2 linked regions of the Neurospora crassa OR74A genome follow. The protein of the gene in region 1 binds, or shares a complex with, the protein of each later gene. Links are inferred from orthologs where the notes say so. Each region holds a gene or a part of one and is shown in the gene's direction. Other genes may lie near its edges.

Region 1 (6,008 bases):
TAGGGCGCTCGAAGTTCATACCCAAGTGGTACTTGACATCACCGGAACCCTCCTCATCGGCACCGGCCATGCCGGCGAATTCGGAAAAGATGGCCTCGTTGGGCTTGCGGACGACGTTGGAGAGGACGTTGAGACGGCCACGATGGGGCATACCAATGACGATGTCCTTGACGCCGTAGTCAACGGAGCGGTCGATGAGGGCCTTCATACCAGGAACAAGGGTCTCGCAACCCTCGAGACCGAAACGCTTGTCGTTGGGGTACTTGGTGGCGAGGAAGGACTCGAAGCTGGAGGACCAGATGAGGCGGTCGAGAATGCGGCGCTTCTCATCGATCGAGTACTTGAAAGGCTGGGGGATCTCGAGACGCTCACGGAGCCAGTCGCACTTCTCCCTGTCGGGGATGTGGATGAACTCGACACCATAGGAGCCGCAGTAGATCTTCTCGCAGGCGTCGATGATCTCGCGGAGCGTCATCTTCTCGCGGCCATCGCGGGCGAAACGGGGGAGGATGCCGGGGCCGAGGCTGTACTCGGTGTCGAGATCCTTCTCGGTGAAGCCGTAGTATTCGGGGGTGAGCTCCTTGGGCCTGATGTTGCCGAAGCCCTTGGAGGCAGGAGTGTTGCGGATGCCCAGAGGGTCAATGTTGGCCTTGTGGTGACCACGGGCCTGGTAGGCGCGGACGAGGAGCTGGACCTTCAAGTGGTTGGTGACGTTGGCACCCTCGCCAATGCCGACGCCGGCGCCGGCAGCGAGACCGGGCACCACGTTGGCGGCACCGGGAACCAGGCTGGGAGGAGGCTGGAAGGCCTGGGAGATGGGCATGTTGCCGCTCTCCATGTTCTTGAAGTAGACCTGCCACGAGACGTGGACGCTCTTGGGGTCCTGCTTCCACTGGAGGTACATCTCGTCGATATAGTTGGCGGCGCTGCCCGAGAGGAAGTTGTCGTTGGGGTCGGGCGGGCTGTGGAGGGCGCTCTCATGGCGCCTCTGCTGGGAGACGGCCAGGGGACGGCGGCCAACGGCGGGCTTGAGGGAGGCCCTGGTGGTCTGGGCGACCTGGGAATAGCATCGTTTTGAGGCGCCTGCGGTCTGCAGGGCCCGGATGGAACCGCGCAACATGATGGGTGGCTGTTGTGAGGTGAGGGTATTAGGACGCAGAAACCGAAAGCGCAATCCAAGCAGCGGGGTTTTGTTTTGTGTGTACAATCTGGAAGAGGGGAGATTTGGGGGGGGGGGATGCGCAAAAGGCAAAAGGAGCGGCGGAGTAAGTCTAGGTCTCGGTCGTCGTCGTCGACTCTTGAGGGGGGGAATGGGGAGAGAGGGGGAGAGAAGACGAGAGGATCGAGATTTGGAGGGGAGGGGGACGACAGACGTTGGTGTTTTTGATGTTTCGTTGGTGTCGGGGGAAGGGGCGGCGGGAATGCAGCGACGGAAAAAAAGGGCCTCACTCTGCCCGCCGTGCAGGTGCGTCGAGTTGCTCCGTCCACTCACTGGAGTCGGGCGGTCGGTCGACCTGTCGGTGCAAACTGCAAGAGCGAGCGAGTGCTGCCGTCCAGCTGTGCTGCTGTGCATGCCTGCTGACTCCCGTTCTGCCCGCCCTGTGGAATTGACAGAACTAACGAACTGAATTGAGTGGACTGAAGTAGCTCGTACAGTGAGCATCAAGGCATCTGCACGGCTCTGTGGAGGGGACGATGACGGCACTTGCTGAAGCACAAGTGAGGCTCCCTCCCCCTCGGCTCCCGCCGTTGCGCCGCTACAAGCGCACTCAGTGCAGTGCGCCCTGGATGCTTCTCTTGGCCATAGCTTTAACATTGTGGAGCCGGCGAAACTGGGTGGAGCTACCCAGCTTCTCGCACTGGGAACAAATACATCGAAGACGCCCGGGACCCAACAAACTTGAAGGGGACATCAATGTGAGATTCTCTCGGTACCTCCATAGCCGCAAACTCGCCTACCTTCAGTTATTTACTGCTCAGTCTGCTACATACCCATACGTAGTAGCGTACACAATGGAATACACGAAGAGATATCATATCCATCATCTACTCGAATCCGTCCTCCCTCTTGTTGTTTGTCCAAAAGTCACGACGGAGTTCACGGTTCGAGCGGTGACCACGGTAACAGCAAGCATAACCGGAAGTCGTGGAGTTTCTGTGGTTTCAAGGAGGGGGACGGGAGCTGTGTCTCCATGACAAGTCATCGGGCACGCAGCAAACTGGGAAAGTGTGGAAGAGCTGGAAGTTACGGTCTGGAGAGTGCTACTGTAATTATTTCATTACGCATTGGCTCCCGCACCTCCCGTCGAGACTGGAGTTGGAGGCTCCGAGACCTGACCCGAGTCCCTTTTCCCCGGAAATCACGGTTCCCGTCTTTTTGGACCAAGTATCCAATCTTACCGTGGAAAGTGGGGAAAACTTCCATGTCCGAGGTGGAAATGTACGGTAACGCTTTCGGTCCCATCTTTGAGCGCGAACTTTTCGAAGCTTTCGCTTGGGGCATCGAACTGATGGAACTGCGCTAGACATGGTCTGGTCGGTATCCTGGGTTATGGGTTTGGGTTCAATTAGCTACTTGGCACTGACCGCCTTGTGACTTGCCGTAGTATCATGTGACTTTTGCAAAAGTCATTTATCAAATCCATTTTGTCAAAGAAGAGACAAGCGAACCGAGTCTAGATCTCGTCTCGATCTCGTCTCGAGTGGTTTATCGAAATGACTTTGAGGTTTGGCTGTTGGTTTCGATTGTGTAATTCACTACAAAATCCTGCATCGTCAGCTGCCACCTTCAACTTCTTCTTCATTATTGAGCCAGTTGCAGCATTGACTGCACGTCACAGTGTTAAATCCCCCAACTCTCATTGGCTGGCCGTGACTGGTTCGCTGCAGTGCAGTTGCTGTTGTCCAAGCTCTGCGCTGGCTTCAGATCCTTGGCATTTCCCACCCACGGCACCTGCAGCAGTTCGTCGCCCAGAGCTCAGGTCCTGTGGTGGCCAGAGATCCGACCTGGGTGGACAGCTGCCGTGACACTGTCTGTCGGTTCAAAGTGGAACCTTCCCGAGCTGAAACCTGAAGTTCAAGTTCTTTACACTAGTTGAACAGCCCCAGGGCGACCATGGAATTGTTAGTAGTCGTGCTCCACTGCAGCCTCAGCTGCCGCCTGCCTGCCTGCCACGCATAAACTACCTACTACACTATGTAAACTCACCACCCACTCACCATCCCGCAACGACATCCGCAGCAGCCAATGCCTCACCCCGGATTCAAGACTGACGGGACCTGGATTAGATTTGCTTGGCGTTACTACACTACATCACCACGTCCATCATCGTCTAATGCCGTGTACCTTGACGACTCTCCCGTCTCTCTTCGATATCAGTAAGGCGTAGTACACGAGCACGCTGTGACATACGTATCGCGTTAATACATCCTTGTCAAGGAACACATTGCGAGGCTGGTCCGTCTTTATAACATCAAAAGATTGGGAACTGGGCATTGAGCGTGGACTTGAGATATTCAACGGGCGGTTAGGGAGAGGACTACCTAGCCAACATGGCCCCGATTGAGATTCCCCGGGGACAGGCCTCTTACAAAAAAAGAGAGGGCATCATCACATTAACCCCAGACAAGACAGCCCTGATATGGAGCCCCTTGCCGGGCACTGGCCCACCCGTCATCTCACTTTCCGTATCCAACATCACAAACCTCCAACAGACCCCCAAGACGAATCCCAAGGTCGTCTTGAGAGTCGTCGAGAAACCCAAGGCGCCCGGAGCCGATCCGGCTGCCTATCCCTTCCAGTTCACACATGCCACCGAGGCCAGGAATGAGGCCGATGCCATCAAGGATCTTCTCTCTCAGATCATTGCTGAGCTTCGTGGCGATGACCCTTCTCTACCCAAGCCGGCAAAGTCTGGCCCCAACGGCGCCGGCGCCTCTGCCGCCATGGCCATGGCCAGTGCCGTGAACTCGAAGCATTTGCCGTTTCGCTGGTTCGAAGACGACATGCTAAAGGCCGATGTAGAACTTCAGCAGTCCCTCATGAAGAAGGATAAGGCCTTGGCCCATATATATAACGACGCAAAGCTGTCCAAGCCAGATTCATTATCAGATGCCTCCTTCAACAGCCAGTTCTGGGCCACCCGCATCAGCCTGCTACGTGCCTATGCCATCGAGCTGAACCAGAAGAAGGGCTCATATAACGTCCTATCAACCATCAAGCCCCGGACCGAGAACGGCGAGCTCAAGTTGAACATCAACCATGAGCAGGTCCAGCTCATCTTCCAACAACACCCACTGGTCAAGCGCATCTACAACGAGAACGTCCCCAAGCTCACAGAGTCCGAGTTCTGGTCCCGCTTCTTTCTCAGCCGTCTCTCCAAGAAGCTCCGCGGCGAGCGCATCACCGACAATGACAACACCGACCCCTTATTCGACAAGTATCTCGAAGCCGACAACACCATGGCAGTCCCAGCCAAGATCACCGCCACGAGTGTGCCCCCCATCATCAACATCGAAGGCAACGAAGAAAACCAAGGTGGCTTCAGGGGTGGCAACCTCAAAGACGTCGAGATGCGTCCGCGCGCCAACATCCCCATCATCAAAACGCTCAATTCGCTCTCCGAGAAAATCATGGCCAACGTCGCCCCCACAGACGTCGACCCCTCCGCCGCCTCCTACTCCAAAGACGGCATCGCCGACGCCCTATCCAAACAACTCGCCCTGCAAGACCTCCGTGGCGACGCCGAGGCCCAGCTGATCCGGCTTTCCGTCAAGGACACCTCCACCTTCTTCACAGGCAACCAGCCCTCGCTCACCGACCAAGAAGCCGCCGACGCGCGCCTCTACGCCACCCAAGTCCCCTCGGACGTGCTCTTCGAAGTGCAAGCGGACATGGACACTCTCGACTCGGACGGGCGCGGCGGCATCGATCTCCACCGGTCCATCGGGGTCGATCCCGACTCTGACGACGAGGGTAATAACTCTCTGGACTCTAAAAGCGGACCCAAGCCCCAACACGTCGGCTCCCGCGCTGCGCTACGGTTCGCCCAGAACCAGATCCTCGAGAGCATGAAGTCCGCTCGGTCGCACCTCACCACCACCACCACCCACGGTGGCTCGCACACCACCACCACCAATGCGTCCGAAGAACGACCCATGTCGTTGCCGACGGACATTGCCCACCGCGCTACGCTAACCTGCGCTACGACCGCCGAGTTCCTGAAACAGTTCTGGACGGTGTTTAATAACTCCAGCAACAGCAGCCCAGAAAAGCAGCAAGAATTGGCCTACCTGGCCGACTCGCTCGTGCGCTCGAAACAGAGAATCGAGGCGCTGGCTGACGAAGCGGAGAAGAGGAGACAGGAGATTATGGAGAAGCGGAAAAGGGAGATTAGAGAGTATTATCAAAAGACAGGCCGCAAGGCGAAGTGGGTTCCCGTTGGAGGGGGCAGGGATGCGGTGTGGGCGGCTTTTGAGGGCGTGGTGGGCGGGTTGGAGAGGGCTGTGGCGGTTTGGGAGATGGTTAAAAGTGGGAGGATCTGAAGATATGAGGAAAGACAGTGGCAGAGGTGCGTTGTTAGGGGATGGATGTTGTGCTGTGCTGTGTGGAAACGGGAGGAAGATGGGGAGGATGACTTTCATGAGAGGAGAAGTGATAGAGGAGGATGACATTTGGGAGCGTTGCCATGAACGAGAAAAAGTTTCAAGTATATATAGAGGACAGAAATGGCCCACAAGACAGTAAGGCTGGGATAATTTGGGTTAGGAGAAGGAGAAACAGACTGACTATAGTCACATTAGGAATTATGGCTGAAGACCAATGATGAAAAAAAGCATTAAGAAATTTTCAAGAAAGCAAACTGGTTCTGGACTGATGTGTGATATCTAAAACCAGACTCTTAACACTTTCCAAAACGAAGGTTCCGGTATTCTCAGATTACATCATGTAGATAAAGTTGGAAAGAAAAGGGGGATCTCTTGAACCATGACATATGACTTGAATCATT
Region 2 (5,656 bases), about 1.4 Mb from region 1:
CTCGACTGCTCTTGCAAATCTTTTGGAAAAAAGTGCAAGATTGAACGTTGAACTGCAGTGGCAGTTGCACCTTCGCATTGTCCATCCCATCGTCTACCCCACATAAACGACATCATCTAATTTCCCCCCTAGTCATGATAATCCCTCCACCACCCACCGGGCCGCCGTTATCACATTGTCACGCACACTTCCCCCCGGCATATGGGCACATATCCCCAGCTTCCTGAGCCAACCTCGCATCCGCTCCCTGCCTCGGAGCCCCGCCATCTCACTCTGCCACGTAAGTAGGTAGTACTAATCTTCTGCTTCCCCTTCACGCCCACGCACAGATTTCCAACGGCCGTGATCCACACCGAATTCGAACTTGACGCACCCTTGGCCCGCCACGTGATATCCCCCCCGGTGCGCCGACCCCTGGCTGTCGTCCGTGATGTAGATGAGTGCAACTCGCTGACCGGGGAAAGACAGGATTCCTCGGGGATCCACCACGGACGTGGTCGGCGCGGTAACTGAGATCGACCGCGCGGATATAGGTGGATGCGCGGTTGTCGAACTATTGTTTCTAGGAAAAGCAGTAGGGTTCAGAGACTTCACATCACAGGGTTCGTATGTTTGTGCCGAGCCTCCATTAACGCCGGTCCAGGGGTGACTCCATCGAGCTTCGGCACCGCGGCACCGTCATGTTGGACTATTGATTTATAGTTTCCTCCGGTGCGTCGGCATCTTGCTCGAGATGACCACCGGGAAGACTGTTTGTCATATTGCCGTTACTGGTCGAAACAAGCCAGCGTCCACTTTGTCCATAGAGAGACGACCGCATGAGTTCCACCTGGGCTCGGCATATTCATGAAGAACTAAGTTGCCGTCGTTCTGGAAGGTAAATTATTGTCTCGGAAGACAAGTTCGCTTTTCTGTTCTTTGATCTGGAAGAGCTACCGGGGTTATAATGTCGCCGGCCTTGAAAGATTCCTGTGTCTACTATGTATGAGTGAAGGGTGTTATAAGATCGGGAACTTGAACAACTTACCATAGGGGAATATTCGGTGGTGGTTACAGTGCTAGAGGTAGATAATCGGGAGTAATCAAGGCAGTTACATATTGCGAGAGCATGGAAAGAACAATGTCTTAAATTGAGCTTCAGTTTTGTCTATTCCTTACCTACCTGGCTGCCCCTTCCTTAGATACTTGTACTTCTCTTCCTCAAAACCTCACAATACCTATCGATGATAGTCTTGGCCATAGGCTTCCAACGTAAAGCTGTCGTCACCGGGGTAACCCCTAAGCCAATAAGAGCCCGACTACAGACCAAGGACACCTTGAATTGCACAGCCGGTGACTTTAAGCCACTCTCGGTTGACAGTCTTGCGCCATCCTTCTAAAGGAGATCCTCGTACGATATGTGAATAAACCGAAAAGGGAACATGTGATGGTGTGGATGGATCAAAGGAAAAAGATGACCTCGCTGTTGGTGTCAAAAGTTATGCACGCTTGCGTGTTCATCACCCGGCTGTTTTGGTGGTAATGCTGGGGTCGTTGAACTAGAATCGGACACAGCAGGAAGAGAAGAATAAGATGAGAGATGAAGGACATGTTCGGATGAAGGTGATATCATTGTACATAGAGGAGCTAGGATATCTTGACCAATAGGAAAGCGAGAACTGGACTACATCTGTATGTTTAACTGCATGTTAGTGCTCTAACTGCATATCTTTTGACCACTAAGGAAAATGCCGGCAATCTGCCTTATCGGGTATCACGTGGTAGCGTGTGCACTTGGACCAGGATCCTTTGGCCTTCACTTGGATCGCGTTTCGCTTGCAACCCCGAAATCGTTATCGCATTTCTCCGTTACGTTATCGCATCTGCAGTGTTCTCGACGAGAAGGTCTTCTTGGGCGCGTCAATCCTATTCAGCAGACATAACCAATCCAGACAACAACTATAACGAATATCACACAACAGAGCGCCCGCTTAGCTATCCTGCCATCTCTCGATCCAGCATCCAGACAAGCTCCCTACGAGCACCGGCGCACTGAGTATCGCGGCGACAAAAGGCCTACGTCATGTACACCAACTGGCTTCGATCCACGATATAGCTCTACAACACACACAACCTTGAAGCGAGTTGAGGCTGTCCCTGCCAGATCATCGTCAAGATGACGGTCCAGGACGCCGTCGACGCCTCCGAACACTACGAAATCTACAACACCGATGATATCCCCTCCCTTTATACCATAATCATCGACACCAACCCACGCGCCTGGGCCGCCCTGAACGATGTCCTCCCACTCACGAAAGCGCTCGCCAACATTCTAATATTTGTCAACTCCCACTTAGCCTTCAATAACTCCAACCAAGTAGCTCTCATAGCATCACACACGAACCGGGCAGTATGGCTCTACCCAACAGCACCCGACCAGAACCCCGGCCGACACCCGCAAAATCCAAACGAAGACATCGAAATGCGCGACGCCTCCTTCACAAGTAAACAACAATCTCCACCGCCCGCAAACAAATACCCCCTCTTCGCCCAAATCGAGCGCTCCCTCCTCTCCTCCCTGCGATCTCTCATAACCGACACCACAACCGAGGACATCACCTCTACAACCACCACCCAGATTTCCGGCGCCTTGACCCTCGCCCTCGCGCACATCAACAAAACCGCCCTCCTCTTCGCCCCCTCCAACTCCGCCACCGGCCCAACCCCCTCCTCCGCAGGCGGCAAGTCCTCCGTCTCCACAACCTCCGGCGCCGGCCCAGGCGGCGGCAACGCAGCCTCCCTCCCTGGCATCGGCGGTGGCGGCCTGGCAGGCCTGCACGCCCGCATCCTGGTGGTCAGCGTAAGCGACAGCTCCCCCTCGCAGTACATCCCTACCATGAATGCTGTGTTCGCGGCGGCGCACGCGCGCATTGCCATCGACACGCTGGCGCTGCGGGGTAGTGCAACGTTCTTGCAGCAGGCGAGCTATATTACGCGCGGCACGTTTATACGGGCGCAGGAGCCGAGGGGACTATTGCAGTACTTGATGTTTGGGTTTGGAAGCGGGAGCGCGCCACAGGGGTTGGCGGCGGCAGGGAACCAGCGGTCTCAGCAGCAGCATGGGGGACATAAGGGGAAAGAGGACAAGGCGAGCGAGAAGGCCCTTGGCGCCGCGGCCAAGGGAGGGGCCAAGCATGGAGGCCAGAAGTTTCTGGGGAGTAATGCTAGCGTGGCGGATCTGTTGGTCACCCCTAGTGCGGACTCGGTGGATTTCCGGGCGGCGTGTTTCTGTCATCGGAACGTGATTGATACGGGGTTTGTGTGCAGTATCTGCTTGAGCATTTTTTGCGAGGTGCCCGAGGGTGGGGAGTGTTTGACATGCGGCACCAAGTTAGCGTTGGGGAATTACGGGAGGAAGTTACCTGTGCTGCCTTCAAAGGCTGCTGCTCCTCCTGGAGGGGGGCAGGCGAATGGGAAAGGGACGATGCTGAAATAAGTCTTCAGCGAGGTATGGAATAGAGTGAAGAGGTAACTGATGGTGGATGATTCTTTTGTCCTGGGCCGGGGAACCAGGCAGTCAAGAGGCTGATTAGAGACTAGGGAGTGGTAAAGCCCACAAGATTGCTCGTGGGATGTCTACCGAAAGCGGACAAAAGGCTTGGAAAACTACATATACACATAGAGTCTGACATGCAGTGCTAATACCCATAAAACAGCTTTTATTGCGAATATCACTTTACTGGACATGGATTCCCACTATAGGATTCAGCCATCGATACCTGTTATTGGGGACATGTCTAGTCATTATCCATCGTTACATCATGCTCCCCCGACTCGCGTTCAACGTCCACCGTCCATTCATAACTCATCATCAGACTCAGTCTCACTCCCCTCATCTACTACAGCAGCAGGCTGAGACGCTCTCGTAGCCGTCGCCCCGGCCCTCTTAGTATGGGAAATGGGCGTTAGCGTCTCCTTTCCCTTTCCCTTTCCTACAACAGAAGCCGTCGTCTTTTTCTGAGGGGTTGTCGTCGCTGTCGAGGATGCCGCAGCCGTGCGTTGTCGTCTAGCAGGCGGCGGTGAAGGAGGCGGCGGCACATCAAGATCCTTGTCCCCTGCTTCTACAGTCCCATCATCCTCCTCATCGGGCTCACTGGCTGTTTCGTCATCGTCGTCGCGGTCTGGGGTGTTGCGGTCAGATGTCTTATTGAGGACCTCATCTTCGTCCTCGTCGTTATCAGTGACGTCCTCGTGATCGAGGGTTTTGCTAGAAGATGATTGTCCCATGGTGGTCGTCTTTGATGATGGTTCCGGCTCTGATTCTGGCTCAGGTTCCGGCTCGTCGACATCCATCTTTTCGAATTTTGCGTGGTCGTTGTCGTCGTCTCCATCATCGTCTGATGATGGTACGTCCTTTGCAGCCTTTCGTTTTCCTGGTCTGGAGACACGGGCGGTTCTTGTGTTTGTCCTTGCTTTCGCTGATCCTGTTCCGCGTCCTCTTCCTCCTCCTCCTCCTCCTATCCTGCCGATCTTGGCACCACTCTCTTCTTCCTCATTCTCCTCATTTTCATCCTCATCCAATTGACTTTCCGGTACGTTAACTCCGGACTTACTCCTCGCACTCTCAATTACCCCCAACAACCTCTCTCGCGAACCTGACCTTGGCCTTGCTCTACTGCTCAAAGCTTGCTGCTGCTGACGAATCTTGGCCTTCTTCTCATTCAGTAGCGCCCTGAACTTCTGCAACAGCTCGGTCTCCTGCTCAACCTTGGACTGCGTGAGTTCCTCCAACTGCTTCTTCAGGTCAGCCACACGGGCCTCGAGATCCGCGACCTGCGCGGCGGAGGTGGACAGGGAAGTGAGTGCGGTTTGACGGGAGATGGCGAGTTGCGAACACCAGTCGAAGAGCTGGATCTCGGAGGAAGGGGAGTGAAGGAGGGTTAGGGCACCAAGCCGTTGGTTGATGCCCGCTACGCGGCGACGGATGGTGATGGTGATGGACTTTTTCTTGCCCCGGGTTTCTACTTCGGCGCCGGCTTCGATGCCTTCTACTGGCGAGGCGGTTATGAAGAGGGAGGATAGGATGGATTGCCATTCTGTGGGGGAGCAGGCGGAGCTGCTGGCGCGGAGGTCGTTAATGTGGTCATGTTTTACTGCGGGTGTATGTGTTAGTTAGTCGACGGGCCCGGATCATGTAAATTCCCCTTGACTAAGGTTTGTTTCTTTACAAGTGTCACTACAACAGATGGCACGCATCACGGCTTGGTGGTGATTGCTTGAGGTGATGCACCGACATGAGCATAGCAGGGTAAATGCCCCTGCATAATTCCATGCCGCGGAGATCATCGGTGCACAAAGGCCTCGGAATAAAGCAGCAAAAATAACGACAAGATTCCGGGGGACTTACGCGTGAGCGCATACGGTTCTTCACCCTCCGTAGCAATAATTTTGAGATTCAGCGGTTTCGATCCCCTCGCGGATGACCCTCCCGAGTGGACAACATCGCCCAGGATGCACTCATCCTCCTGATCGGTATCGGTCCGGGGGATACGGATAATCGTGGATGAAGATGAAGTCATCCTTGCGTGGCTTGCACAATAAAGTGCTTTGAGTGAGACTTATTGTGAAAATGTGAAAAAAAAGTGGGATTGAGATGATGGTATTTTGGGGGCAAAGA

Evidence for each region. Proteins that work in one complex are often made in the same cells at the same time.
Region 2: NCU05423 (region 1) and NCU01580 share a complex: the UniProt entries of both Schizosaccharomyces pombe proteins name them as parts of the 7-subunit TFIIH core complex. The link is inferred for Neurospora crassa OR74A from reciprocal best matches to the Schizosaccharomyces pombe genes tfb1 and tfb4.

What each region holds. Positions count from the first base shown.
Region 1 is NC_026502.1:1,591,171-1,597,178, reverse strand, and holds NCU05423 (hypothetical protein), read left to right. Parts: upstream 1-3,152; 5' UTR 3,153-3,552; coding exon 3,553-5,544; 3' UTR 5,545-5,858; downstream 5,859-6,008. Other genes in the region: tca-7 (2-oxoglutarate dehydrogenase E1 component), read right to left, coding at 1-1,573. UniProt on the Schizosaccharomyces pombe protein: Component of the general transcription and DNA repair factor IIH (TFIIH) core complex, which is involved in general and transcription-coupled nucleotide excision repair (NER) of damaged DNA and, when complexed to TFIIK, in RNA transcription by RNA polymerase II.
Region 2 is NC_026502.1:3,028,674-3,034,329, reverse strand, and holds NCU01580 (transcription factor TFIIH subunit Tfb4), read left to right. Parts: upstream 1-1,836; 5' UTR 1,837-2,155; coding exon 2,156-3,475; 3' UTR 3,476-3,837; downstream 3,838-5,656. Other genes in the region: NCU01581 (hypothetical protein), read right to left, coding at 3,838-5,132, 5,387-5,558. UniProt on the Schizosaccharomyces pombe protein: Component of the general transcription and DNA repair factor IIH (TFIIH) core complex, which is involved in general and transcription-coupled nucleotide excision repair (NER) of damaged DNA and, when complexed to TFIIK, in RNA transcription by RNA polymerase II.